7 linked regions of the Oryzias latipes genome follow. The protein of the gene in region 5 interacts with the protein of the main gene of each other region in a biochemical or structural test. Links are inferred from orthologs where the notes say so. Each region holds a gene or a part of one and is shown on either strand. Other genes may lie near its edges. The genes, in order: hsf1, josd2, receptor tyrosine-protein kinase erbB-2, lrrk2, stub1, ataxin-3 and bag1.

Evidence for each region.
Region 1: the proteins of stub1 (region 5) and hsf1 form a complex in vitro, tested with the Homo sapiens proteins (2 studies listed by BioGRID, with this or other methods). The link is inferred for Oryzias latipes from reciprocal best matches to the Homo sapiens genes STUB1 and HSF1.
Region 2: the proteins of stub1 (region 5) and josd2 form a complex in vitro, tested with the Homo sapiens proteins (2 studies listed by BioGRID, with this or other methods). The link is inferred for Oryzias latipes from reciprocal best matches to the Homo sapiens genes STUB1 and JOSD2.
Region 3: the proteins of stub1 (region 5) and receptor tyrosine-protein kinase erbB-2 form a complex in vitro, tested with the Homo sapiens proteins (4 studies listed by BioGRID, with this or other methods). The link is inferred for Oryzias latipes from reciprocal best matches to the Homo sapiens genes STUB1 and ERBB2.
Region 4: the proteins of stub1 (region 5) and lrrk2 form a complex in vitro, tested with the Homo sapiens proteins (3 studies listed by BioGRID and IntAct, with this or other methods). The link is inferred for Oryzias latipes from reciprocal best matches to the Homo sapiens genes STUB1 and LRRK2.
Region 6: of the proteins of stub1 (region 5) and ataxin-3, one has a biochemical effect on the other in vitro, tested with the Homo sapiens proteins (6 studies listed by BioGRID, with this or other methods). The link is inferred for Oryzias latipes from reciprocal best matches to the Homo sapiens genes STUB1 and ATXN3.
Region 7: of the proteins of stub1 (region 5) and bag1, one has a biochemical effect on the other in vitro, tested with the Homo sapiens proteins (3 studies listed by BioGRID, with this or other methods). The link is inferred for Oryzias latipes from reciprocal best matches to the Homo sapiens genes STUB1 and BAG1.

What each region holds. Positions count from the first base shown.
Region 1 is NC_019869.2:4,836,101-4,839,600, forward strand, and holds part of hsf1 (heat shock factor protein 1), read left to right. Parts: intron 1-46; coding exon 47-197; intron 198-1,464; coding exon 1,465-1,533; intron 1,534-3,281; coding exon 3,282-3,387; intron 3,388-3,500. UniProt on the Homo sapiens protein: Functions as a stress-inducible and DNA-binding transcription factor that plays a central role in the transcriptional activation of the heat shock response (HSR), leading to the expression of a large class of molecular chaperones, heat shock proteins (HSPs), that protect cells from cellular insult damage.
Region 2 is NC_019874.2:19,500,230-19,504,413, reverse strand, and holds the start of josd2 (josephin-2), read left to right. Parts: upstream 1-1,384; 5' UTR 1,385-1,492; exon of another isoform or gene 1,493-1,616; intron 1,617-1,744; 5' UTR 1,745-1,751; coding exon 1,752-1,873; intron 1,874-4,184. UniProt on the Homo sapiens protein: Cleaves 'Lys-63'-linked poly-ubiquitin chains, and with lesser efficiency 'Lys-48'-linked poly-ubiquitin chains (in vitro). May act as a deubiquitinating enzyme.
Region 3 is NC_019877.2:7,422,762-7,426,705, reverse strand, and holds the start of receptor tyrosine-protein kinase erbB-2, read left to right. Parts: upstream 1-1,144; 5' UTR 1,145-1,374; coding exon 1,375-1,447; intron 1,448-3,944. UniProt on the Homo sapiens protein: Protein tyrosine kinase that is part of several cell surface receptor complexes, but that apparently needs a coreceptor for ligand binding. Essential component of a neuregulin-receptor complex, although neuregulins do not interact with it alone.
Region 4 is NC_019864.2:2,156,222-2,159,721, reverse strand, and holds part of lrrk2 (leucine-rich repeat serine/threonine-protein kinase 2), read left to right. Parts: intron 1-1,913; coding exon 1,914-2,134; intron 2,135-2,209; coding exon 2,210-2,337; intron 2,338-2,418; coding exon 2,419-2,637; intron 2,638-2,719; coding exon 2,720-2,921; intron 2,922-3,500. UniProt on the Homo sapiens protein: Serine/threonine-protein kinase which phosphorylates a broad range of proteins involved in multiple processes such as neuronal plasticity, innate immunity, autophagy, and vesicle trafficking.
Region 5 is NC_019877.2:8,954,562-8,958,684, reverse strand, and holds the start of stub1 (E3 ubiquitin-protein ligase CHIP), read left to right. Parts: upstream 1-1,323; 5' UTR 1,324-1,594; intron 1,595-2,146; 5' UTR 2,147-2,263; coding exon 2,264-2,377; intron 2,378-2,470; coding exon 2,471-2,669; intron 2,670-4,123. UniProt on the Homo sapiens protein: E3 ubiquitin-protein ligase which targets misfolded chaperone substrates towards proteasomal degradation.
Region 6 is NC_019880.2:12,489,184-12,493,173, forward strand, and holds the start of ataxin-3, read right to left. Parts: upstream 2,801-3,990; 5' UTR 2,757-2,800; coding exon 2,712-2,756; intron 2,243-2,711; coding exon 2,078-2,242; intron 2,001-2,077; coding exon 1,956-2,000; intron 1,872-1,955; coding exon 1,786-1,871; intron 1,699-1,785; coding exon 1,632-1,698; intron 1,557-1,631; coding exon 1,469-1,556; intron 1,396-1,468; coding exon 1,266-1,395; intron 1,192-1,265; coding exon 1,034-1,191; intron 943-1,033; coding exon 786-942; intron 646-785; coding exon 590-645; intron 444-589; coding exon 397-443; 3' UTR 1-396. Other genes in the region: E3 ubiquitin-protein ligase UBR1, read left to right, coding at 2,907-2,951. UniProt on the Homo sapiens protein: Deubiquitinating enzyme involved in protein homeostasis maintenance, transcription, cytoskeleton regulation, myogenesis and degradation of misfolded chaperone substrates.
Region 7 is NC_019875.2:29,408,253-29,412,310, forward strand, and holds bag1 (BAG family molecular chaperone regulator 1), read left to right. Parts: upstream 1-1,258; 5' UTR 1,259-1,352; coding exon 1,353-1,389; intron 1,390-1,901; coding exon 1,902-2,030; intron 2,031-2,322; coding exon 2,323-2,405; intron 2,406-2,476; coding exon 2,477-2,590; intron 2,591-2,673; coding exon 2,674-2,781; intron 2,782-2,868; coding exon 2,869-2,931; intron 2,932-3,017; coding exon 3,018-3,107; 3' UTR 3,108-3,606; downstream 3,607-4,058. UniProt on the Homo sapiens protein: Co-chaperone for HSP70 and HSC70 chaperone proteins. Acts as a nucleotide-exchange factor (NEF) promoting the release of ADP from the HSP70 and HSC70 proteins thereby triggering client/substrate protein release.

The sequences.
Region 1 (3,500 bases), on a different chromosome or scaffold from region 5:
CCTACATATGTTCCCTCGGACTGACCTAAGACTTTGTTTGTCGTAGCCGCTTCAGTTGTTGTAACAAGCCCCGCCTCCGCCGACCCTGTCCAGCCCTCCCCAGCCAGCCAGCCGTCTGCCCCCGTTACACCCCACAGCGCCGGTTCCGGCCCGGCCACGCCTCAGCAGAAGTGTCAGACAATCGCCTGCATCAACAGGTAAGTGTCACATCAGGCTCAAAGTGAGCCTGTGGCTTCACGCGTCTACAGCTGATCTTTGGGTGATTCTTGGACAGTAACCTCACAGCAGCAGCAGCTCTGACAGTTCCCTTAGAATCAATATTTCTGGTAGATGTTTCCTAACTTCCAAAAAAAACTGCTTCTTGCCCCAGTGACTTCAGTGTTTTTTCCGGCATTACAAAATCCCACATTTTTAGTCTGCAAATTCTGTATTACCGTATTTTCACGACTACAAGGCGCACTTAAAAGTCATACATTTTCTTCCGCCAGCAGGGGGCGCCCTATGAGGCATCGCGCCTGATGTGTAGTTGTGGGTCGTAGAAGAAGATGGAGTGAGGAAGGGAGAGAGATGTAAAGGCCAAGTGGAACATAACTGCAGTATTACTATTTGCAATTTAAGACTGTACCTGCTTCTTCTACATGATAACCTTCAATCTATCCAGTAAGGGAGGGGCATGAAGTGAAGCAGGTTGCTCAAAGAAGTTGACAAATTTTCAGCATAACAACATGATGGTCACTTCTCTTCACAGCCACCTAACTCAAGGTGTGGGAATAAACACTTCCCATGAGTCTTAGTGGCCATGGGCGGGGCTAAGGCCCGGGTCCCCCCACTTGTTAACAAGATGGCTGAGCACCTGTTTGAACTGCAGCTATCAGCTACGCAGAGGAAAAAAAAACTAACTCAGATTTGCTCCCACTGTTTTTTTTGTAAACACACATTAAGTGTGTGTGTGTGTGTGTGTGTGTGTGGCTTAAAGCTGCTGTTTTCGCCAGCGCATAGGAGGAGAAATGGAGACTGGCGGAGCGTGTGTGTGTGTGTGGGTATGTGTGTGCGCTGTGTGTCTTTAGCGCTTGTGTAGGATAAGGAGGAAGGGGGACAAGAGCGCGCAAGTGAGTGACCATTCAGTTTGTGTTATTCAGTTAGGGAGAACAGTAACAAAAAAAAAGGTTTCCTCTAAAGAACAGAGACTGGATGTTTTATGAACCCACTCTAGAAGCGCTGAGGGTCTGAACGGGGCGTTAACGTGCCCGGGCCTTAACACGCCTTTTGTATGTGTCAAAGACGGAAAAATCCCCCGTGACTGAGACTGCGACCTACCATCTGGTGCGCCCTATGGTCGTGAAAATACGGTATTTACAAATTGCTGTGTGAGGTAATCGTTGTTAGGATTACATTTTGTCACATCACATAAATGTCCCTTTGAAGCTTGTCGGTGTAATAAAAAAATGTTTGTGCTTCCCTCAGATTCCTCCCTCCCCCTGCAGGTGGACTCCCACCTGAGCTTTGGCGCATCGTACCGACACAACCTGACAAGTGAATCTTTAAAGGAATATCACAGACTGTGTTTAAAGGAGGAGAGTGGCACCTGGGACTGCAAAACGCAGTTTGGGTTTTTAGTCGTTGGTGCCTGTTATTGTGAAGAATATTAGCAGCAATTCATACTTTAGGTACCTTTTAAAAAGATCGTAAAATAAATAGCAGAGCCACAAACTAAATTATAGTCAATTGTCACTAAAGTTGGACACCTTTTTAGAGATCAAAGCTGATACAATTGCTTGTAAAAAATGGTTTTTAGGGCAGGATTTAAAGATCGGGAAAATAAATAATTCAAGGCTTCTAAAACAGATGGAACTATAAACCAAAGCTATTAAACACAAGGAGAAAAGAGGAGTAGATGAAGATGATTGGTTGTGTATTAATGAAAATGAATGGAACAAACTATGTTGTTTTATTTAGCAGTCGGAAAGCAGGTTGTTCATCAAACCCTTCAGGCTCTAAACCTAAAAGAAAAAAACTGGTTTAGTTTTGTCAAAGACAATTCCTCAGTGAGAAATAATCGCTTAATTTCTGTAAATCCATTAAAAAAAATTAAAGACCCAGTGAACATAGTGTTTTTGGTGTTTTTAACATATTCTTGTGGAATTTTTTCCAATGATGGAGGACAGATATTAAGCAAATTGAGGTTAAAACTGAATTTCTGAGTATTTCTATTGTCGAATTGTTGTGAATCAGAAGCAGATGAAAAAATGCAGGTTGTAAAATATCTTTTTTATCTAATGAATTATTGCCTCTTAGCAGAAATTATGACCTAGGAACAGATTTATTTATTATTTTTAAATTTTGGGGTAAAATCTACAAAATGAAGATTGAAAGACTACAGGAAACCCTTTGAAAATAGATCAAAAGATGATCAGAGTGGATCTTTAAAAGTTGTGCGGTTACAGAAAAGGGTTGGGTGTCATCTGCATAGAGTTGAACTTTCTTGTGATATCAGTATTTCTTAGAATGGAGGCTAAAATCATTGGAGAACTCAGGAGGTCAGTCAGGTTAAACTTTGTTGGGAACACGGACAGATTTGCTCCTGAAACCAGGATATTGCTGTTTTCACACGGGGAACAAGGTCGTCCAGAAGGAAGCTGAGAAACTGAGTCAGTGGTGTGGGTGTGGTTTGGAGTCTGTCGGGTGTTGAATTCTGGGTAAGGGCTGCCTTGTGATCAACTTAACTATTCCATCACCTATGCACAGACTTTTCACATATTCTCACAAGGATTCATTTCTTGCTGCTCCAAGTAACCGATAATTTCCAAACTACAGTAAGTCGTAATTTGACGCTGAATCGGGTCGCAGCAGCTGCACGTTTTCTTTTGGATACAGTCTCTGATGATTAAAGTCAACTAGAATGGGGTTCTGTTAATATGACTGGTGGAATTTACTTTTTTCTTTTTATCATCATGTGAGAGATCAGACCAGACTTTGTGCTTTTAGGTAGACCATCCAATGCCAGAATGTTTTAAAGATGATAAAGAAAAATCCCACGTTGAGGACTGATGTTCGAGTGTCTGCTGTTCTTTTTTGTTTTTTTGTGTTATTGTGATGCTTGTAATTTAGCTTTTTCTTTGTTTGACCAGGAGAGGTAAAAAAATTAAGAGACAAACGCGAATTTGGGCAGCTTTAGGAGACACATTGCTGGTTTGAATCAATGTTGACGAAAAGAAAAATGTAGAATAACACCAGACCGACTCTGAAAGCTAACGCTGATCCCCCTCCTGTCTGTCTCTCAGATCTGAACTTTCTGATCACGTCGACAATATTGACAACACTTTGGACAACCTTCAGACCATTTTAAACGCTCAGACCTTCACCTTCGACACCTCTCCACTCATGGAGGTCAGTATGGCCATCCCATATACTTTTGTTCATGCTAATATGATTATTCTCTTTGTTTTCTTTTTCTTCTCTTCTTCTTCTTTAAACTGCACAATAAATCGTGAACATATCAT
Region 2 (4,184 bases), on a different chromosome or scaffold from region 5:
ACAGCTTTCCTGGTTTTGGAGCAGGATTTTGGACTAACAAAAAAAATTGTAGGCCAATAATAATATTAAATGACTGTCCATCATACAAATACCAATAATTTAGTGGTGTGTCCTAAATATCTATGAACATAAAAACAAACCCCGCAACTATCAGACAATAGAACGCTATTTTAGCATTGCTGTGATCTAATGCTTGTTTTTGCACAATTTGATTTTGAAACATTGTACTCAAAACTGGCTTATGTTCTGTGAGAAATCTTTAAAAAATGTTATGCAGGTCTTTGTACATCTCAAAGTTTCCTGTGCATTTATGAAGGAAGAAACAGCGCCAAATGCAAAATAGCACACAAACAGATAACCCAATAGTGTCCTCAGGACCTCTTGTGCAAAAATCAAACATATAACTGGGAATGGTAACCAATTTGGACACAACATTGATAGAGACAATGTAGATAAAACAGGGTTTTTTTTTAATCTCAAAAGGAAGGTAGGAGAGGATAAGAAGGTCTTTTTATTACCATTCTACAAAGCTCAACAGAAATCACTGTAAATGAGACAACAGACATAACTTTAAAAAAAATCAGAACATGATACACTAACATTCAACAATTTTGACAAAGAACAACTTCAGTTCTAAATTCAACACATAACATACATTAAAAGATTTGTAAAAGGTTCAGAATAGCAACATCTGACACAATATCAGACTAAAAAATAACTGATGGAGTGCTCATGGCATCTTCAAATTATCTAATTTGTTATTAAATATTGTTCTATGAATATCTCTCCTTTCATTGGTCCTGTATGGCTGAAATGTGTTCACTCAAAACAGAAAGGTTCAACAATGGAGTTTCATCTTACATTTTGCTGCCTTTGTAATGGCTATCAACTTGTATCTCTTGGATTGAACACAGTATTTCCTGCTCAGAGCAGTTTTGCTTTCACTGAATATGATGTTATCCAGTCAATCACAGATATAGTAGACATGTTGCATTCTAGGAAAATGTAACATTATCATCAACATTCATGAATATCATCACAAGTAATTTCTCCATCAAAAAAATTCTTAAGTTGAAAGACAATAATCCATATGAAATATTTCGTGTTTTATTTTTTAATATAAATGTGTATTGTTTTTCTTTTAGAGAAAAAATATCTGAAAGTCTGTCTTCACCTCCTCTCTGCCACAACTGAAATTAATAAAGCTGCCACTAGATGACGTTGCAAGCTTACATTATTGCTATTTTGACCTGCTTAAAAACATTAAAAACAATCGCGCGGACTACCAGAAATATTTTTTTGCGTTTATTTAGTGCTATATGTACTTGGTAAATAAAAGAAAATTCGTGTTTCGGTGTTGCTCTGTGGGACTCTTTAAGCATGGGGGCGTGTTTTTTGTAGAACAACAACACGACAAAGACTCTGCTTCCGGTTTCTGGATGTAGCTGACGGACTCCAGCGTCAATAAAACGTGGATTTGCTTTATCAGCAGGTAACGAGCTCCGTTTCATTGTAATGGCGTGACAATAGTTCGCGCTGCTGCTACTTTCTAAACCACTTTTTGAGCGGCCAGCTGGTGAACTTCCACCAGGGTGTCATAGTTAGCTTCTTTTCAGGTAAGAAGATAAGAACTACTGTACTAGCTGGTGCTAACCTCTCATATTATATCTGATGCTAGCTAGCATGAGTGACGTGTGTATTCTGGTTTTGTTGACGTCCACGTTTTTGTGTTTGAAACGGAAAGCGATAGAATGAGCGAAGCCGAGGTGTTTCATGAGAAGCAACGGTTGGAGCTGTGCGCCATTCACGCGCTCAACAACGTGCTTCAGGAGCGAGTGTTTACCAAGGAGACGGCTGACGACATCTGTAAACGGTAACAACGTGCTGACATGATCTTGTACCCATTCTCTCAATTTAAAAAAAAGCATATATTGAAACACATTGGATGTATTGTAATGTGTGGTACTTGTAGTTTCCTTGTTTATGTTCGTGTTTAAGGCTTAAAACAAAACAAAACAAACAAAAACAGTCTCGATTTCCCCAGGTCATCATAGTTGAATATTTACACTTACTGGCCAATTTTATGTGGTACAACTTGCTAGTCCCGTGTTGGACCCCCTTTTGCCTTCACAACTGCCTGAAACCTTTGTGGCTTAGATTCAACAAGACTGTGGTGTTGGAACCATGCTCAGCTGGTACTAAGGGTTCCAAGGTGTGCAAAGAAAAGATCCCCCACACCATTACACCTCCACCACCAGCCTGAACTGTTGATACAAGGCAGAATGGATCCACGCTTTCGTGTTGTTGACGGCAAATTCTGACACTACAATCTGAATGTTGCTGCAGAAATGGAGACTAATCATACCAGGCAAGGTGCACGATTTTAGAATCAGTTTCCTGTTCTTAGCTGACAGGAGTGGTACCCGTTGAGGTCTTCTGCTGCTGTACCCCATCTGCCTCATGATTGGACGTGTTGTGCGTTCAGAGATGCTCTTCTGCAGAACTTGGTAACCAGTGGTTATTTGAGTTACTGTTACTTTCCTATCAGCTGGAACCAGTCTGGCCATTCTCTTCTGACATCAACAAGGCATTTCCACCCACAAAACTGCTGCTCACTGGATATTTTCCCTACAAACCCTAGAGATGGTTGTAGGTACAGTGATGAAAGTCTTCCGGGAATTCCCGGAAATCCGGGTTTTTGAGCAAACCGAACGTACTTTCCGGGAAATAAAGACCTGATCTCTACGGACAAATCGCTTTCCGGATTAAAAAATGGTCTGAAATCAGCTAATTTTAGCTTTATTTTCTATATTTCTCAGCAGATCGCTTCCTCTATGGTCGTGGCCATCTCTCGTCTTCCCGGCCTAATTGACCAATGACGGGACGTTTTAGTTGCTTTCGGATGCGTCGACGGGTCCGATTGGCTCTGTCTGCACCACGTGGTCAGCGTGACTCGCTTCCCTAGAGACCAAAACTGGCGGACCCACGCTAAATTTTCACAAACACATCTGAAGAGTTTGCGATCAAATTTGTGTTAAAATAATGGCAGGCATCGTCATTATTGAGCGTGGTCACGACCTCAGTTGTGAGAAGACGATAAAAAACAAATTGAAGTGGTCTTGGCTGGAAAAAAAAGATTTTTAAGGTAGTGTAGGTCAAATACTTTTTTGTGTAAAATAATCTCAAAACCACATTTTGAAATAATTTCAATTTTAGTTTTGAGTTTCAGTTTTTATTTTGAATACATTTCTCTATCTAATTTATTTGTATTTCCTAATTACCATGATTTAGTTCAGTATAGTTGACATTAATTATAAGTATTTGATGGTTTGGACCCGCACTCCCTTAAAAAATAATGTTTACAATGTTTAGTTTAGTTTGTATGTTTGTTTTGATATTTCCCAGATTACTTAGTATTGGTGTTAAAGAATTGATGTATTATGTTATAGAATTATAGTTTAAAGCAGATCCCATATTTTGATGTAATTATAGTTTGAGAAAACAGTGCAAGTGGATGTTGTACATCAGTCATTTCTAAAGCAGAAATAATGTATAAATAACTGAGGTATTTTCATAGAATATCATAGTTACTGGTGTTCTTTTTGCCATTTGGGGCTTTGATGTTACTATATTTTAGCAATTGTATGTTTTGCAGCTTTAAGGAAAAGCGTAGATTGTAGGATTGTGTTACTTTGAGCAATTTTCCAAATTCTTTTTTAGGACCAGCAAGTCCTTAATGGAGAGTCAAACTAGGGGTTTGAATGACAAATCATGATGCTCCAATTAGTCTTAGTTTCTTGATAAAGAAGTGAATAACTAGTTGCCAGAATGCATCTAAGACCACGTATTTTTCCAAAATTTCGCTCTGTGCCCGCCATATCGCTCAAAGAAAAGTTCAGGGATTTTTTCCTTGCCTGACTTTCATCACTGTAGGTAAAAATCCTAGCAGGTCACTTTGAAAGTCACTACAATCACCTTTCTTCCACATTCTGATCCTCGGCTTGAACTGCAGCAGATTGTGTTGACCATGAATGCCTAAACGCATTGACTTTCTGCCATGTGATTGGCTCAGTGCAAATTTGTTACCGGGCAGTTGGATGGGTGTACCTAACAAAGTGCCCAGTGAGCGTACATATCTTTTTTTTTTTTTCTGCAAAAACTTCCATCTGAATTTAAATGGATAA
Region 3 (3,944 bases), about 1.5 Mb from region 5:
AAATGCAATATTTCCTATTACCAGTGAAATATACATAAACAATTTGTCTTAAAAGGTTATTACATCACAATTTATTTTAAGAAATTTTACCAAAACAAGTTCTTCTAGTTCCAATGTCAAATTTGTTTTCCCTTATAACAAGAAAAGAACTTCTACTTTTCTGTATTTTCAACTTGTTTAGAGATACATTTTTTTCTTCCATTGCTTGCCCACTGAAGATTTCTTTAAATTTGTTCCAGAAGTCATTATGAAAGTTTAGCCACTCTAGTGAATCAGTAAATGGTGAGATACAGAGATGTATGAGTCTATGCACTTGGGGAAAGTTTGGAAATAGAGCAGGAAAATTGTATTGTGTGCGTGTCTGTGTGTAAATACATATATGTGGGGGGGTTTTTTGGACAAAGCACAAGAAATGTTAGCCCCCAATAGACTGAAAACAAAAAGGATAACAAGCCTGAGAACATCTCACAGGATCAAGCATCTCCTTGAGATGCTACTGCTAAATCCTCCATAAACAACAATAATTACAACATAATCCAACATCTTGAAGTTTGTTGACAAAGACAGTCTGATCTAATTTTTTGGTATTTCTTGTATCATGGAAAATTTGGAGAAAAAAAAGTCCTGAAATATTGACTATTTCCCATATGTTATGATTTAAATTCAAATAAATTTAAAAATCTGCATTTGATACCTTCTGGGATTCTGGGGTGCCAGGAAGATCTACCATTGAAAATGCAAGGTGCCAAGTTGGTGAAGGTAGTAGTATTATGGTGTGGAAGTTTTTATTTTATTTTGTTGTTCCAACAAAAATGATTTTTAAACACTTCAGCACATTTTTATTTTAGAGAACTTTAAGTTCTTTTGGCAGTGTTCTAACATGATGCTCAAAGCTACAGCCTCATAAAGATGAGCGTTTAGAACACTTTTCAGATACATTTCAGTTGGAAAAAAAACATGTTTGAGTAGGATACATAAATTTGACCAATAAATAAATAAACATATATATATTTGTATGACAGAAGGAATCCATGCATTACAGTCTTTAATGTCACATTGATAAGCGTGTAGTGAGTTTGAGGTCTGCAGACAGAAATCTGTGATTGTGGGCGGAGTCAGAGTGCCACTCCTCGCGCAGGCCTTCACGGGAGCGCGCTTGTCACACTGTTACTACCAACAGTCCGAGTTCGGAAGTCTCCGTGGATAGGAAGAAGGGCAGCAATTTCACTAAGGGAGTCGAGATTAAAGCTGCTATTATTTTAAGGTCTAATATTTTAAGAAGGAAAAGACCTATTGTGTTTTTTTTGTCGGCTACAACGAATATTAGACAGACCTAACTCTGGAATATGGACTAAACGCGCCGGGTGCGAGCAGATGGAAGCCGCGAGAAGTTTGGTGTTTATCGGAGCCGTTCTGCTCGGAGTGCCGGGCGTTTTGGGCGGAGAAGGTGGGTGACTTTTGTCGTCTTTTGCGCTCTCACGGTTTGGGAACGCGGACATACTAGACCCCGTTCGAGTTGTGTTCGTGTGGACGTGAAGTGTGAAGTCGACGCGGGTTCCTGCATTCCTCGTACGTGATTTCGTCCTCCCTGCGGAGATTCATGGGAGTTATGGAGCGCAGATAAGGACAAAATTCCCACCTGTCAAAAAGTAGCTTCGCTAAAAGCTTTCAGTTTGAATTTCAATTACAAACTTACACTAAATTGAATAAAGAGAGTTAAAGCCACATAGTTGGGCAATAAACTCGAGAACTGGTGTTGAGATGCAGCAGAGCAGTGTTGGTAAACAACAAACAAACAAACAAACAAAAGCTCTGTGTGCAGAAGATCATCATGACTATGTCAATTATTCACTTCTGGCTCCTAAGGGGACATTGTCTGATAGAGGGCCACTTATCACACTTGGAGCTTGGAGTGCATGCCAGTAAAGTAAGAGCTAACTAACTGAAAGTGCAAATAAGAGCAAATTTGCAAAATGCAAATCAAGATTTCTTTTGTTTAAAGCCAAACCTGAGGAGTTTTTGGATTTCTTCATGTTGCAGAAAGTAGCACCGCTCTAAACTATTTGTTTCATTGTTTTTCACATTTCATATACCAATTATATAAAGTCGAAGAAAAGGAGTCAGATTTGAAAAACTCCAATATCATTTTTTATTTCTGCAAGAAAACCACAGTTTTCATGATTATTATTATGAACTAGTTTAATATCTGTTCTAGGAGGATTTAGCAATATCAATAAACATGTAAAACCTTTGCACAGACTGAGACTATGTGCAGACTTTATTAAATTGCCAGTTTTTGGGGTTAAAAACAACAAAAAGAGCCATGAATTTTTTTTTTTGGACTTTGATTACCAATTTCCAGCTCAATTAAGTTGAAAGACGAAATCCTTAGAGCACAAACAATACTCCTGTTTTATTAGCTGCCCCCGAAGCACTACCACTAATCGGACACACGCAGGAACAAAGCCAGTAGTCACAGGTGAAGTCATTTCTGAACGCGACAGCATTGTTGGGGGGAACAGGTTGGTGCACTTTAGTCTGCAGTGTTGATCTCTGAAGCATCGGACCTGTGCCGGAGTGCTCTGACTGGTTCCCAGAGTTAAGCAACATGTTATGCCCAAGTGTTGACTTCCAGCCTTCTTACTTTCATTTGTTATGTCACTCACACGTGTGCACAGCCCCTCTATGCAGGATCCTTGGTGTGAGGCGATTGCCTCAGTGGACGCACAGTTCACGCCCTTGTCATATTTTAGCGCACCTCAAGGCAAAGTCTATTTGAATTGACGCTAGTTGCAGGTTAACTCTGCCCGTCTAGACTGTTAGTGACCTGACCCACTCTGACTGAGATCAGGATGGTCGTTCTCTAAAAAGGCTCCGCTCACCCTCATGTTTTTCAGAGGAACGTCCGTTTTTTGGCAATAAAAAACTTTTAATTCAACCAATCAAGCATCTTATTGTTTTAATATTATTTTGCATCTTAACCTGGGCATTTAACACTAAGACACTATCATTTTTTTCATGTAAACCTTTTAAAGGCTGTGTTTGAAGATCAATTTGTTTCAATTAAAAAGACAATTCAAAAATATGAAATTCCTCGATTTAATTCTTTTTATAAGAATGTATCACAAATTATCTGGAAAAATGTATCAAATTTATTCGTTTCTATTGTGAGATTTCACAATATTATGATCAAAGGTTTTACTTTTGGTCACTTCATCACTAAACAACTTATTTTAAAACAAAAATTTGACCAGTAAAATGACATTTAATCAATTGTAATGAATCCTATCAAAATTTAGAATTTCTTATCAAAGACTTTACCAATAATCACACTAAAGTTCTCACTTCAGCTCAGGTTATATCTAAAATGCTTTTTTACTTGGAGGGAGATTTGTCTATATTATATGTTGTCATTATTTGTATAAAATGCTCAAATTGCCCTTACCCTACATAAAATGTTTGCATGTCAGTGTTATTTTATTGCATGTATGCAAAATGTGCGTGTGTGTGTTTTTTTTTTAAAGATTTTGTGCATGAATGGTTTCCCATAAGCTCAACTCTCATGTTCAGACCCGGCATTGGAGCAGCTAAATTTAAAAAGAGGACTGTGATGCGTTCACTAATAATAGTCAGTGGTGTGGATGCTTCATAAATATCTTGAAGGCTTGAAGCTCTTGGGTCTCTCCTTGTTGTCTTCATATAGATCCAAAGGTTAAAAAATATCATATTTATATGACTTTGATGCACATTTTTATGCCTTCAGTTTCCCAAAATATTGTCGGTCTGTAGGAATTTATTTGTTCTTTTGACCTGGAACTGAATTTCTATGATACACAGTACTCAGAAATCTGTCAAATTGTTTTAGCTCAATGTTGGTAAACTACATTGACTGTAGGTCTGCATGATATGAGGAAAACTTGCAATATTAGTATTCAATATTGTGA
Region 4 (3,500 bases), on a different chromosome or scaffold from region 5:
GTATTTTCAATATTGCTTAATGTAGCTTCTCCAGTATTTCTAAACTGAATGATGCCTGAATGGTACTTCAAAAATAAAGGGGGGGGGGGGGGGGACACTAATTCTTTCCAGAAACAATGAAGTGATGATGATGAGGCAGCATGACAGGATGAAGGAGACGCTTTAATGTGGCTAAGAGGCTTTGTTTACATCACAGTCTGCTCTGCACCGCTGCAGCCACGCGTTCTTACACGCTGAAGTGAACTAGTAATGGTCATCGCCACGATGTTGTCCTTTTTTCACACATCACTCTGATCCATGAGGTCACTGAACCAGAATCCATTGCTGTGAGGTTCTGCAGAACTTTGGCCCGCTTTGCCGATAGCATTTTGGCCGATGCTCCGTGCATTAGAACCCGTTGTGCAGCTGCAGAGCTTCACTCGTTCTTATCTGAGCCGCTACATAGCACCACAATCCATGTTTTCATATGTTACTGGCAGAAACATGGCACAGAGTTTCGGTTCGGTACCCATTCTAAGTAAAAACTAAGTAGTGCATGTCTCATAAAAACAAAACAAGCTGCTCCTCGCTGAGATCGTGTAGTCTTGTGTGGTGTAGAGCTGCTCAAAGAGGCTCAGTGGGCTCTGCTACCAACTAGCGACAGAGGTTTAAGTGAAAAACAAGAGTCAGACGCTGAAGGATGCTCATAAATAATTAAATAAATATCGTCCTTATAGCATCAGGTGTCGCCAAATGAACTATTGCAATATATCACAGAAATTATTTTTTTCTAACACCTTTCCTGCACAAGCAGCCCTTTAGTGCTGTTAACAAGGTAAGTGTGCTTGTTGTGTGCAGCCTCACTGTTAGAAAAGAGGAAATTGGACATTAAGAATGTGTGTGCCCACATGCTATGGGCATGTAGGTATCACCTGTGCAGGATTTATGGTCGGCATGGAGAGAGTGCTTGCACTTCCCCAATGACTAGACTGTGGCATTGAGACGCTGTACGACAGCATCACCTACATGTCATAAGTGTGTGTAACTTACATTATTCTTACAAATACTTTTCAAAACACACTCCATACCCATACCAGGAGCATCTTCAGTGCCCTTACGATGCAGCTGCTCCACTCTACGACCCTCCACAAACCTGGACATTTCAAAAACCCGTTACAGTTCAACACCCGGACAGGTGCATTAAAAATAATGCTACATTCACACTTCACACCGGGCATGTGAGAACGCACTAAACGCACGTTCAGCATATGGCGTTCACACTGGAATGTCGCCATCTGATACTAGCACATGTAGTCACAGTTGGAAGAGGCTTTGTGTGAAATGTCAAAGCAGTGCCAATCTGGTGAATCTTGCTCCAGGCTTTTTCTTTCACAGCTCTATTCCGATGAATGAAAGACTCGCTGTCGTAGAATTCCAGCCGAACACAAACCACAATTATTAATTTCTCCTCCATGATCAATTTTGAAATGGTTGGTACTTCCGTGAATTAAAGGGGATGTCATCCAAACGACACTGCCAAATCCAAGATTGGTCAAAGTTTAGCCTGTTAACTTTCAATGCACGTTCAGTGTTTCAGATGTAGAGCCAGAAAATTGACTTAAAACCTTTGCAAGTTTTGAACTCAGAGACCTGAAACCGCCTCTATGCACGTTTACATAAGCTTTTCATTAAAGTGGTTGCCTGAATGCACGTTGCTGTGGGAGATATGACTGTAGCTTCAGTCTCAAGCTCCGCCTCCACTGAGCTAAAGGTTCATCTGAGTGCTGCACAACCTGAGCTGTGCCTCTCTAACCCAAACGTCCTCTCTGCTGGTGCATCATGTCTTGGTTAATGATAGATGTTTGGCCTCATGACATCTTGAACAGAATGCAGTGGAGTCAGATTTGCACCCCGTTTCTGGAATTGTTTTTCAGGTCCCTGCAGCAGCGACTAAAGAAGGCGGTGCCGTATCACAGAATGAAGCTCATAGTGGTGGGGAATCCCAGCAGCGGGAAGACCACGCTGATCCATCAACTGATGAAGCAGAAGCGCCAGTTGAACTCAAATCAGAATGCTGCAGGCATTAACGTCTTAGACTGGACCATCAAGGACCGGGATAAGAAGAAAATGGTGCTGAATGTTTGGGACTTCACAGGTTAGAAAACCTGCTCAAGTTGAGGGTAACTTTGCTTTGGAAGGCCAGTCAGGAGTCCCTTTCCATCCTTAACAGGGGGGGAAGAGTTCAGTGGCTCCCATCTTCACTTCCTCACTTCCAGGGCTGTCTACTTGGTGGTGTACAACCTCAGTAAAGGATCCAGTCAGGTGGATGCTCTCAAACCCTGGCTCTTCACTATTAAGGTACGGACAAAGTCAAGGTGCATGAATTTGGCTTGTTTTCCTTCAGGTCAGACACTCGCTGCTCTCGTCTGTTTACTTCAGGCGGTAGCACCGCTGTCTCCGGTCATCCTCGTGGGCACTCATGCAGACGTGAGCGATGAGCTGCACTTCCAGGACTGTCTGAAGAAAACCAGGGCAGAGCTGCTGAACCACCAGGGCTTTCCAGCAATCAGGGATCATCACATGGGCTACTTCTGTGAGGACTCCGACTCCATTGCCAATCTCCGCAAGGCTATCACAAGGGAGGTCACCAGCTTTAAGGTGGAGCAACGCAAACACAGGATGGAAGAGTTCAAATCACGTCTACCTCAACCCTGCTAATGTTTTCTGCTCTTTTTCACAGATCCAAGGCCAGCTTGTCATGGGCCAGCTGGTACCAGACAGCTATGTGGAGCTGGAGCGTAGAGTTCTTCTGGAGAGGACCAGAATCTCGCCAGAGTTCCCCGTCCTCAGGCGCTACCAGCTCCTCCAGCTCATCCAGGAGTGTCAGCTGCAGCTGGAGGAGGCGGAGCTTCCTCACGCCGTTCATTTCCTCAGTGAAGTCGGTCAGTAGGAGTGGAGCCTCGAAGATGCTCCTGCTTTGTCTGGAAATGATCCCTTCCTTTGCAAATACCCTTTTGGCACATTTACCAAAAGTCTACTTTTACGACCAGAAGTTAGCAATTGACTCGAATACAAATAAAGGTCAAGGGTGTGAGACACTCAAATTCGTATTATTAACCTCTTGTGTAAACCACTTCCATCATTACGTCACGTGTGTCTCATACTACCATCACACGGGGCTCGGAAACGCACGTTTGAGCGACTGATTCCAATGTGAAAGCATGCTTCAAACCCTCACTATTCAACAGTGCAACAGCTTTTCCTTTACCTTGCTCTTGTTCTGCTTGTTTATTCTATTTATTAAGAGTACCACAGTACCATTAACATTTTCAATACAACACATGTCCTCACATCTTAATGACTGGAAAGGAGCAGTGAGAAGAATGAAATTTCAGTTTTATTTCTGCCCCCGTATATTAAAGCTTACAGACCCATTCTGATGAAAATCTTTAGAAGTTCGTCTCTGAGTTGTGGGAGGGACCGTCAGCGTGGAGCAACCCCTTCCCCTGCTTCCCCTAACC
Region 5 (4,123 bases):
ACACAGTGATGCAATGGTAATTCATAATATTGTACTAAACTACTTAATAACAGATTACATTAAAGATTTGACTCACATTTAAAAAAACGAGTAGCCCGATGATGCCATCTTCTGGCCAATACACTAGATTTCCTGTGCTGATCTTTTACAAGTGCAATGAGAAACCACCCAGTTGTCTTTTTCTGTATCTTGGTGTGTAAAATTGGTAGTTCAACTGCAAAAAATGCAAATATTTCTGATCATATTTTTTAAAATAACTCCTCTTTACACATTTCAGATTTGTATAAACGTCTCAAACAACCTCAGGTAAACCCATCTTTCCATTTCTTGCTCTCATATTTTTGCTTATTCAGATTTAAATGAGTGATTGTAAAGATGCATAAAAATAACAGGAAATATTTAGGTGTGGCTTCATTTCATTTTCAAACCATATTTGAGAAAAAAATACTTTTCTGAATGTTAAAAAATATATACGTTTTTTTTTTTCAATTACATTTTTATGCTTACAGCAGCATAAAAGCATAAAAAACGCAGTCTGCCCTGGACAGACTGGCGACCTGTCCAGGGCATCCCCTGCCTACGCCAAAGTAGCCGAGATAGGCTCCGGCAGCCCCGTGACCCCGAAAGGGACAAAGCGATACAGAAAAAAAATGAATTTTTATGCTTCTCTTAACATAAGCAAAGTCTCATGTTAAAATTTGGCATCAAGCTAATATAAAAAGTGAAAAATGAGTAAAGACATAAAAAGCACCAAATCAAATAGAACAGATTTATCATCTTCAATGCTTTTGGATTAGTGCAATAACAGAAGTTTAAGGAAGACAAAATAATAATAATAAATTATTTCCATTAATATCAATTATTTTACTAATAATTTCGAATCAGATATAAACAAACACTTTTATTTGATAGGGTGTTGTTATAGTATTTTGTCTAACGTAATGTAAGGTCAGTACCTATTTTCTATACAACTAACCATCACTCAGAGATAAGGTGTGGTTACTTGTATCAGTAGTCAGCTATGTTAGTTCTAACCACTAGCACTGATACCAGGGTCTTCTCACATATAGAAGGCCCCTGTTTCACGTTGTTTGCATGCTCTTCTCACAGCTCCAATGACCCTCTATGATTAATTTAGGATTAAAGATAAAGGGCTGGCATTCTATAAAGCCAAATTATGAGAGCAGTCCCAATACAGATGAGGGTTTGTTCCCACAGTACTTTTACAGAAATGAGCACAGAAACTTTACATTGTTATGATACTTGAAGATAACCTCTGCGCAAACTCCCATCAGGATTCGTGTGCTCTCGGCTTCCGTTGTTAGAGCGTAAAGCGTTTGACGTCAGCACCACAACATTCCGTCTTGACAGTTCGTACGGGTGGTAAAAATAATCCGTAACGATTTTATATCAAACTAAATTAAATCTGTTTGAGCTGAATGTAAAATTTCTGATTAAAGGTAAGGGTGGGTACTATGTAAAACTTTATTTAAGCCTCCAACAAACTGAAACGGACGTGAAGCAACTGTAATGCAAAAAGGCTAAGCTAGCACTAGCTAGTTTATGTTTTTTGAAGAAACCGAGCTGCGTTGTGGTAAATATTGAAATCCTTGAACAAGTAGTTATGGTTTTACTATCCTCTGCTTCAATTCACCAGAATCTACCCTAAATTAAATGTCAATAAAATTGATTAGAGACACAAAAGCTGTACTATGTCCCCAAACAAAATAATTTCAAGATAAAAGCTTAGCTAATTTTAGCATAGCATCGATTCTCCTCCTCTGTTTGTTTGTAAGTTAGCAATCTTATTTTTGTGTTTCTTGTCGTGTAACAATAATATACAATTTTTCGTTAACTTAAATATATTATCTTGTATCTGGTGTTTTTACTCGAAACCTGAGTGGATGTGTAAATTAATGGTTCTGGATTTTTTTTAAATAGCTGTGCTCGCTGATGGCCATCGATTTCCGAATGTGAATAGTTAATTCGCCGGCAGTCTAGCTGTGATTTTCAGCGGCGTGCACTGTCAGCAAACCCGAATGAATGCATTCTGAGCGGCACCAAGCAGCAGCGTTGCGCCGAGAGATCGTTGAAGAAGCAGCGCATTGCAGGTGCATCGCTAACTCAGCACGCGCCTGTGTTTTAGTGTGTGAGATCCAAGCCGGACGGGACGTTCTGAAAACCTGTTGTCTAGCCAGCCGAAGAGACGGGGAACAGGATAGGGAAACAGGGCGAAGCGGGCCCCGCGGAGCCGGTGGAGAAGATGGCCGGCAGCCCGGAGAAGAGTTCCACCGCGCAGGAGTTCAAGGAGCAGGGGAACCGGCTTTTCCTCTGCCGCAAGTACCAGGATGCTGCCTCTTGCTATAGTAAAGCTATTGTAAGCGTCTGGGATTTCTCATCCAAACACTAATGGCGAAGACTAAACAGTTTGCGCGTAAATACTCTTTATTTTCCCCATTGTGTCTTCCAGAACCGCAATCCATCAGTGGCAGTATACTACACCAACAGGGCCCTCTGCCACGTGAAGCTGCAGCAGTATGACAAGGCTCTGACAGATTGTAAGCATGCACTGGAGCTGGATAGTCAGTCTGTTAAAGCCCACTTCTTCCTGGGCCAGTGTCACCTGGAGCTGGAGAACTACGATGAGGCAATCGGCAATTTGCAAAAAGGTCAGAAACTAGTTTGATTTTTCTCTCCTAGCCGTTCGTGTCGGGTTTTCTTAATCATAACACCAGAACAAAGGATCACAACCTTTAGGTGTTGAAGATGGATCAGTTCACTTGTGCTTTTATTGTGGGATTCTAACAAAAAAGAATTTTCTGTGGGGATGAGAAAATCAAACTTGCACATGTTCTTAAAGGCACCAGCAGTTACAAATCAATGCATTTACCTTAAAACCAGAGCATTTCATCAACTTTAGGTACATTAAGAAGAAAATGACAAAATAAAAAGTATCAAAAACTGTAACGGATTATTTTTGCAAAGGTTTCCTGAACCTTCAAATGTATCAGACAAATGTAAGTCCATATGCAATCATGGTAGTTAATCTGTCCAAGCATATTAACAGAAAATAGAGTGGAAAGAAAAAAGACTTTCAACAGAGAAAATCCATGCAAAATTCTGATTTATTTCACCATCATCAGAGTTAGACGTTTTTTTTTGTTTTTTGTTTTTTACCTGGGCTCATTAGAAAAGAACCAGACAGATGCTTAGTGGTCCAAAAGTAAAGGTTGTATTTCATTTGGAGACGCACAGACCCGATGTTGCCTGAAGGGTCTTGTGAAGCTTCCACAGTCAGGGATGATGTAGGTCCATGTTTTTTTGAAGTCTACACAAAGTTCTGTAGCACTTCATGCTGCCTTTTGGTGTTGAGCTCATTGGAGCTGCAGATTCAATTTTCCTGCAGGACATGGGGCCCGCCCACTCTGCCAAAAGAACCAAAAGCTGGTTCAATTAATAGTATTACTGTGGCTGATAGCACATTCCCCTGACCTGAACCCTATTATGAATCTATTGTCTCTTGTTTGGAGGAAGATGAGACACCAGACTCAATAATGCAGATAATGTGAAGGCAGCACATAGAAACCTCCATTACTTCTACATAGAGCCACACGCTTCATATCCTCAGTGCATTGATGCAGTGATTCACATAGAGGAGCCCTAACCAAGCTAAGTGATAGAAATGAAGGCATTTGAACATTTAGGTTGTAAACATCTTTTTCTATTATTTTGATGATAAAAGCTAATATTCTGACACATTCTATTATTTAGATTAATTATCTTCAACGTTACAATAAATCAATGCTCGACATATTTCAATCAATTATATGCCGTTTACCATTTAATTTGTGTGTATAAATGTATGTTTGTGTGTGTGTGTGTGTGTGCGTGCGTGCTTGGGTTTTGATCATATTGTGATTTATTTGTCTTGCTGCAGTTTTGGGTTTGGATTCAGCACAGATAACTTTTGTAGTGATTAAGAGCAGAATTACATGTTTATTGTCTCACTACGCTGTTACACACGCCTGCAAACATACAATTCTTACATTGGTCTTGTTTGTCTCTGTGCCGTGTCAAGTGTTAAAAAATGGGCAGATGATCTCTGTCTAAAGTGAATCCTATT
Region 6 (3,990 bases), on a different chromosome or scaffold from region 5:
ATCCAACTTCATAAAAGTTAACCCATTTTTCATTCATTTTCTCTTTATGTTTTCAAAAAAAATTAAGACAACAAAAACCAGAATGTAAAGAAATAGAAGGCTCTATGGTAAAATAAAAAAAGGCCATTGAAAACTTGGAATAACTACATTATGAGTCATTTTTAAGTCCAGCGATCACCCTTTTCCCCCATCTCTGTACCACACTGAGGTCTGATTTGACCAAGTGCTGCCTTTCCCTTGCCCATCAGCAAACCCAGCGAAGGAAACCATGTGTCGGCCTTCTGGCTGCAGTATGTTTGCGTTTGCAAAAGGTTAGAGAATGGAGAGAAGCCAACCCCTGTACAGGGTTTCAAGTTCAGAGCGTTGGTAGACAAAAGCAGCAAAGCTTTCACAACTTTATTTGGTGTCTTTTTCTTGTTGGTCCTCCATAGAGTTGGATTTTTCTGGTGTTAGGGGCAAAAAATGGATACTTGGGTTATTGTTCTGACATGAAAATAATATCTACATTTTCATTCTGATATGCAAAAAACTGTATATAATGGGTGTTATACATATAGGGTGTTTTGAATTTTAAATAGAGTTTACTCACCAGAGTCACTGGTTGCATGACTTTCTAACTGTCGTGGAATGCTTGGTTGTGCTTGCCTGAAAGATAATACGAAAGTCTGGTTCATAAGGCACATTTCTCCTTTCTGCTCACTAAAAAAAGACCTTTGAACATGTGTACACATATTACTGAAAGTTTTTTTTTTTGTTAAATTCAAGTTTTACAGATCAAATCCTACCGATCAAAATAAGCTTGTCTCCTCTTCCTCAGCTCCTCAGCAGTAAGTGTCTCATTCTGGCCTGGTTTATCTCCACATGTAGAACTCTGTACAGTCCGTTTTTCGGATTTCACATTTCCCACATCAGACTCTGAAGATTTGTTACTCATGCCTGATCCTAGTTAAAGGAAAAACGTCAAAAAAAGGGTTAAAAAATTCCAATATAATAAAATATTTTCAAATCAGCCTGGAGCTTTGAAATGGCACACCTTGCATGCTGAGCTGAATGGCCCTGCGAAGGTCAGCTTCTTCATCTTCCACATCCATTTCCTGTCTGCTGAGTGCCAGAGCTCTCTTTAGTTCTTCATCGTCATCCACAGCCTCATCTGATACAACGTCCATTTGCCCCCGAGCAACGGATCTGCTTCTAAAAACAGACATGTATTATGTCCAAACAAGACCTAATGTAATCCAAGCGAGGACCATTTTCCACAAACCTACCCTGAACTTGTCTGAGCCTCATCCTCTCCAATTAGCCTGGGCCGTTGCTGTTGTTGAACCCGCATTATTCCGAGAATCTGCTCTGCTTCACATTCGGGAAGATTCCCTTGGATCACAAATATGGAATATCCTGCAGAAATACATTATTTTTGTATTTGTGTACCAAAAGGTGCAATAGTGTAAACAAGTCGGCTTTACAATACCTTCTTGTTGTAGCTGTGCCAGGAAAAGAGCTAAATATGTGTCTGATATCAGCTCTGGTCCAGTCAAGAGTGAATTCAAGTTAAACCACTGTAATAATAATTAAATAAGTAAATTAAGCATCAACACACGTATTGAAAAGTAAAAAAATAAAAATCGACATACCTGTTGTCCAAGCTTGCGTATGGTGAACCAATGCTCCTTATAATTGCAAATGAAGGCCTTCTCGTTTCTTAAAGGCAAAGACATCAAGTCAGGATTTAAATGTGGGTGTGGGATCGACTTGCTATACAAGGAAGTCTTGAAAATACAACTTTACATTGGATTTATCATCAAGCTCTGGTACTCCCGGCTATTGAAGAGAATTAACTCCAATCCCCACACTCGGAGAGCATTGCTAATTACCTATAAAAATCAGTCATAAGGAGTGATAAGACAATCTTGTAAAGTTGATTGCTAATGATCATATGACAAAGCACATAAACATACTTGTATTGAAAAGAATCCGCTGTCGTCCATGTTTCCAGATGGCTGCTATAAAGTTATTATTAAAACAGTTGTTTAAATACATGTACCACTGCAGAAAACATCTGTTACCTGTCCCCACTTACCTGTAAGAAGGTCCTGTACTCTTCACTACCCATACCTCCTTCTGCCATTCTCATTCTCTCCTCTTCGTCAAGCTGATGAGCAATTGAGGACAGGTCTACAGGGGTAAAATACTCCCCCTGCAAAAGGTTGTTGAGGCAGTGCTGGGCACATAAGGAACCCTCTTGCTGAAAACAAAGAATAACTGCGTAAACGTATTGAGAAAAAAAAAGGTCTCCACTTTTTCAAAATGGAGTGCAAAAACTTACAAAACCTTGGAGATAGATTATACAAAAAGCTAAAGCAACTACAAAAAAATAAATAAAAAATAAATAATGTTTCAAACATCTAAACAACGAGCAACATACAACTTTAGTATCCTTTTTCTTTAATAATTATTGGTGGAGTCGAAGTGTACAATAAATACCGCAAACTCGTTTTCTAACTTCATTCTATTAGCTTTTAAAGAAACTTAACAACACCTGGTTAGCAAGTGAGTTAGCATTAGCAGTCTGAATAAAGCCAAAATAACATTAGATTGAAGCTAGCACCGGCTAAACACAAACTCTAAATAAATGCTAAGTGTCTTTACTCTCTCCGACTACACACGAGTAAAGGCGTTCAGTTTAATGTCACAAGTAAATTGTTTAAACCTACTTTTTCATGAAATATGGAATCCATGTTTAGATTTCTGTCAAACATTCAACTTTGACCCCTACTCCTGTAAAGATGGGAACCAATCTCTATTAGCGCCCTCTATGGATCATTTTGGAGTACAACCTCGCTCCGTTCCAACAACCGAAAGGATATTGGTCACACAGGAAACCCCCCTCCTTTTTCGGCAAATGAAATATGGCAGAGAGTAAGAAACACCTTGACGGACTGGAGCTCAGTAAGGTATGGCGTTGCAAATTAAAAACTGACAGTTATTACCGAGATTCGGATATTTGACACGTACGCGTGGGGTTATAAAATGCTACACAGAAAACGGGCTCAACGCGCAGTGACGGTCCTAAAGCTAGCAGGCAGAAGCTGGAAACGGCTAACCGCTTTACTAGCTTAGAGATGCTACAAAACAGGTTTATTTTTCGGTATTGTTTAGCATCAGCGATTTGAATCTTCGTCAGAAACGCGATCTGTTTGCAGATGTGTAGGTCAATCTGATATTTTAGTACTTAGTTTTGTCCAAAACCCCGTTTTACGAGTTTTAAACACTGAGCATCAGTCCTGTTTTTTTGAAGAATTTAGTGAAAAAAAGTTGTATCTTTCGAAAAATGAATGTGAAACTGAACATTTATTACGAACCATAATTTTATCGTTTAAATTTTCACAATGATCCTGCCAACTATTTACATCCCGATTTGTTGAGCTAATCTTCCTTCACACTAACTTATCATTGGACTTTTATTATAAAGTTTATTATATCCTAAAAGGAAAGCAGATTTGGAGAATTCAGTAACAATGTTCTAGCTTTTCTATATACACATGATCATATGTTGTCTGTAGTTCAAGGCACTAAAGACTAGAAAGTAGGGGTGTAACGTTAAATTTTAACCATGATTTGATTCATATCATTATATTTTTTAGTTGCTGATATGATTCATAGGTGATATTGGTTCATTTTGAACGATACGATTTATAGACTGAAAATCGATTCAGGACATTTTAGCCAAAAAATCAACCAGTGTGTGACTCGGTGATAAATACCTGGGTACTGTAGAGCAGGTGAAGGATTCTCCTGCAAGAATGTGTAAATTAAATAAATAATAAAGTGTGAATTAAATATGTGTACAAGCAAACAAGTGAACAGGGATTAATGGCAAATCCATTGACATTTTAGTTTCCTAAAGTTCAGCCCACAACAAAATAATCTAAACAGAACATTATTAGAACATTCTACCACACTTTATGGTCACATGTCTTTGTAAAAAGTGTT
Region 7 (4,058 bases), on a different chromosome or scaffold from region 5:
ATAATAAATATTTACTATTTTTACAAAGAGTAAGTAGTAATTTCCTGCAGTAGATCTCCATCCACTATAGTAAACAGTGAGTTACTATTTGCAAATAGAGTTAAAAACTGAGCGCACGCCGTTTCTTTAAACCAAAAGAACATGGACTGGACATTGTTTCCCACAATGCATTTCATTTTTGTAGTTAAATTGGACGTGTAAGGGCATATACATATATAGAAAACAAAATACCTTGTCTCTAGAGTCTAGAGGGACTCGAACTTACAATCTTTGAATCTCTTGTCAACGATTTATTTAGACATCCACTCTGCAAAAGCTGCTTGTTGATAGAGTTCAAGCTCGCTAATTCTTGGAATTGATTTCCAATCAAATCACACATTTTTGCTGATGGGGTTACCTGTTGCAGGTGCTAAAGGTATTTTTCATTTGGTGGTTTATACTAGATGTCCTCCGTTGTAGGTAAACCAGCTGTGTTTTTCCGCTAATGGAAACGTGTAGTAAAATAACAAGTAAATCCCCTTTAATCTAACAATTAAAAAGTTATTTATGTGTGTTCATCTTTTAAATCAACAGTCAGATTTTTTAATATTGTCAATACATCTGTATTTTTCACATAAATAATTTATTTTATGTTATTCTGCTGTAGTACATTAAATAGACCATTATGATGTTTTAATGTGCAAAATCTCCAAAGTTTAATTTAGTGTATATTTCCGTTAGTAACAAATGTCATATACTATTAGGCATGCATATTTCACACATGGCAGAAGAGATCATGAAAGCCACGAGGCCGACATAAAACCTCCAAAATCGCACACGTTCCAAGCGGGGCTCGAACTTGCAACTTCAGGGTGTGTGTTATGAAAGTTGGAAACTTTATATCGACTTACGGGCGCTGTCCTTTTCCCACAATGCATCACGTGTTTGTAGTTAACGCAGTATTTGAGGCGCATAAACTGTAAAAGTAAAAAAGTGCGACTCTGGTGGGACTCGAACCCACAACCTTTGAATCTCTTTTGATCGATTTAGCTAGAAGTCCAATGCGCTATCCATTGCGCCACAGAGCCGGTTGGTCGAGTCAAGGTCTGCATAGAAAGCAAAATTTTCAACATTCGTGACTGACTGTCGGCGTTGGAAAGTTTAAGGATCAAACATTCAAACAGAAAAACACGCTTCGACATTATTTTTTAAATCTGTCTCTATATATTTATACGTATGTATATGGATAAAAAGGACCTTTTGAAATGCAGCGGAAAATCAGTCCGTCATTTCCGGTGCTGACCGGAAGTAGTTAGCTGTTAGCGGAGATAGCCGGGTGACTTGTGTTGAGGTTGAAGAACAAACACAAAGACATGTCTGATCAAACGATAAACCTGATAGTCAACTACGGTAAGAAAACGTTTTGAATTTTAAACAAACGGAGACTGAAGCGGCTCCGAGTCTTAGATGTGACTGTAGCTCAGAAATCCTTTGCTTGTTGTTGTGTAGCCCAAACGCAAAAACCGGTTCTAGGAAAAACTTCTGCTGATCATGATGTGAAATGAACTATTTACTGTTAGGCATTGAATGTCTCAGCAAACTGCTTTACCTGTCTGCTCAAAATTCGAATTATGTTCATTTTTAATTGTGGATTCATAACAAATATAACGTGTCATCAAATGCTAAAAATAGCAGAAAAAAGGTTCAAATCAAAAGACTAATGAGGATCAGACTCTACAAATGGGTTTGATTATAATAAACTTTCAAGAAGTCTCACTTCATTACAGATTTTAAATGAAATAAATTGTAATTGATTAATTTTTGTTGGCTTCACAACTGAGGTTTGGCGATATGAATTCACACAAACCTGTTTTATTTATGTTCACAACGTTATGACAACTGCATGAATGTCTGTTGATCAGGTTCAGTAAAACACAACATCAAACTAACGAGTCCAGATGACGGCAACGGGCCGGCAGTGAAGGATTTATCAGAAGCTGTCTGTCAGGCCACCGGCGTTCCCCCCGCCTCTCAAAAACTCATCTTCAAAGGTTTGGGTTTGACCTACATTCTTTTTTTTTTTTTTTTTTGAATGCATCCCATAATTAGGCCTTGACTCCATGTCGCGGCATTGTGATAGTTTCTGAAAACGAAGATCTAAAGTGATCAACCAGCTGAGCGTTGTTGCAGTGTCGTGGTGATGCAGACAAAAACGGTTGTCGTGGTTACCAGTTTCTTTAATTTGCTAAAAACTATACATAAGGAAGACCAAATCTTTATTTCTGTATTTTCTTTGACTTGGTGCGTCTGCAATTTTTTGCTAACATATTCTTCTTTCTTCAGGGAAGTCTCTGAAAGAGATGGACGAGAGGCTTTCCACCTACGGGATCAAAGACGGCTGCAAACTCATGATGATCGGGAAACGGGTAAGACGCTCGGGCGCCGCCCCTGATTGAGTTGGCGTGCGCACATCCCACTGACAACGCTGTACAAACAGAACAGTCCGGAGGAAGAAGCTGAGCTGAAGAAGCTGAAAGACATTGAGAAGTCGGTGGAAGTGACCGCCAAGAAGCTGGAGAAGGTGGACGGGGAGTTGACGGGACTGAAGAACGTGAGCCACAGATCCTGGAGGGAGAAAAGCATCGTCAGATGGGTCGTTTCTTTGAGGTTTCACCTCTTTTCTTTGCTCTGCAGGGCTTCTTGGCCAAAGACCTCCAAGCTGAGGCTTTGAGCAAACTTGACCAGAGAGTTAAAGTTGCTGCTGAGCAGTTCATGAAGATTCTGGAGCAGATAGACGCCATAGTAATCTCTTTTTGGATTGAGCTTTTTATCCCTCGAGTGTTGGTCATTTCTAACACACTCCTCTCTCTCTCTCTCTTTCCTCTAAAGTCTGTCCCGGAGAATTTTAACGACTTCAGAGTGAAGAAAAGGGGCCTCATAAAAACCGTGCAGGTTAGCCAGTAGGTTTCTTTTTTTCTGCTTTTACTGACGACGCTAAAAAAAATTGACTCCTATTTTTCTGTTTTTCGTGGCCTCAGGACTTCCTGGCCCAGTGCGACAGGCTGGAGGCGGGTATATCAGACCACCTATCAAAGACCCAGTCCAAGAACTTGGCTCTGGCAGACTGAAGCTGCTTCCCTTACTGTGTGCTATCTGTTGCTCTGTGAGCAAAGTGTACCAACGGCTTCAGATGTGGAGCAGATTTTATTTATTTCTCGGTGTGATGTGCTTCATAACGAAAGGAGACTTTGCTGAGATCATGAGGGTCAGCCGTAGGTGAAGATGCGTCTCAGACTCAGACATGGACTGGAGCGTCGGTGGTGCTTTGATGTTTACCGTAGATCAAATCCTCCGTCTGTCCTGTGGCGTTTTCCTCCCATCGGCCTTCAGCTGTTCCTCTCGGTCGCCGCCAGCCTGATCCACAGAAGTAAGTGAACCCTCTTTAGATGTTTCCACCACGTCAACTTGAAGAGGTTTGTGAATTTACAGAGTTGTATTTTTGTTATAAAAAAAGGAGAAAGTCAAATTAGGCAAATCACATCATCATCAACTGACTTCTACTGTACATGTTCATCAAAATCACGACGACTGCAGAAAAATGAATAAATTTTAAGCCAAAAAGACAGATCTCCAATGTTTGGACGTTTATTTCTGAAGTCCCGCTCCCATCATCTTCTGATCGATTTTCCCAGCATTCCTTAATGATGATGCCATTTTTAGCCAAAATCAGAGTAAGCCAGCCCCCACTTCCCATCGCCCATCCTTTTATACAGTGAGCTTAATGGAAAGACCCACTCTGGGGAAACTGGTGTGTTTCTTTAACCTCTTCTTGGGGCATTTTTCTGATGATGGAGGACAAATATTTAAAAGAAATTCAGCTTAAATTGCAAATCTGAGGATTTCTTTATTCAACTTGTTGTGAATCAGGAGCAGGCGAAAAAAAATGACGCTTGAAATCAACCCAAGAGACCCTGTGATCGCAAGGTCATCCGCTCTGGAACACGGCGCCAAGTCATCCACCGTTCGCTCCAGGAGTTCCATCCTTAGATCTTTTTGATCGATGATGGCCTTTGGCTCCT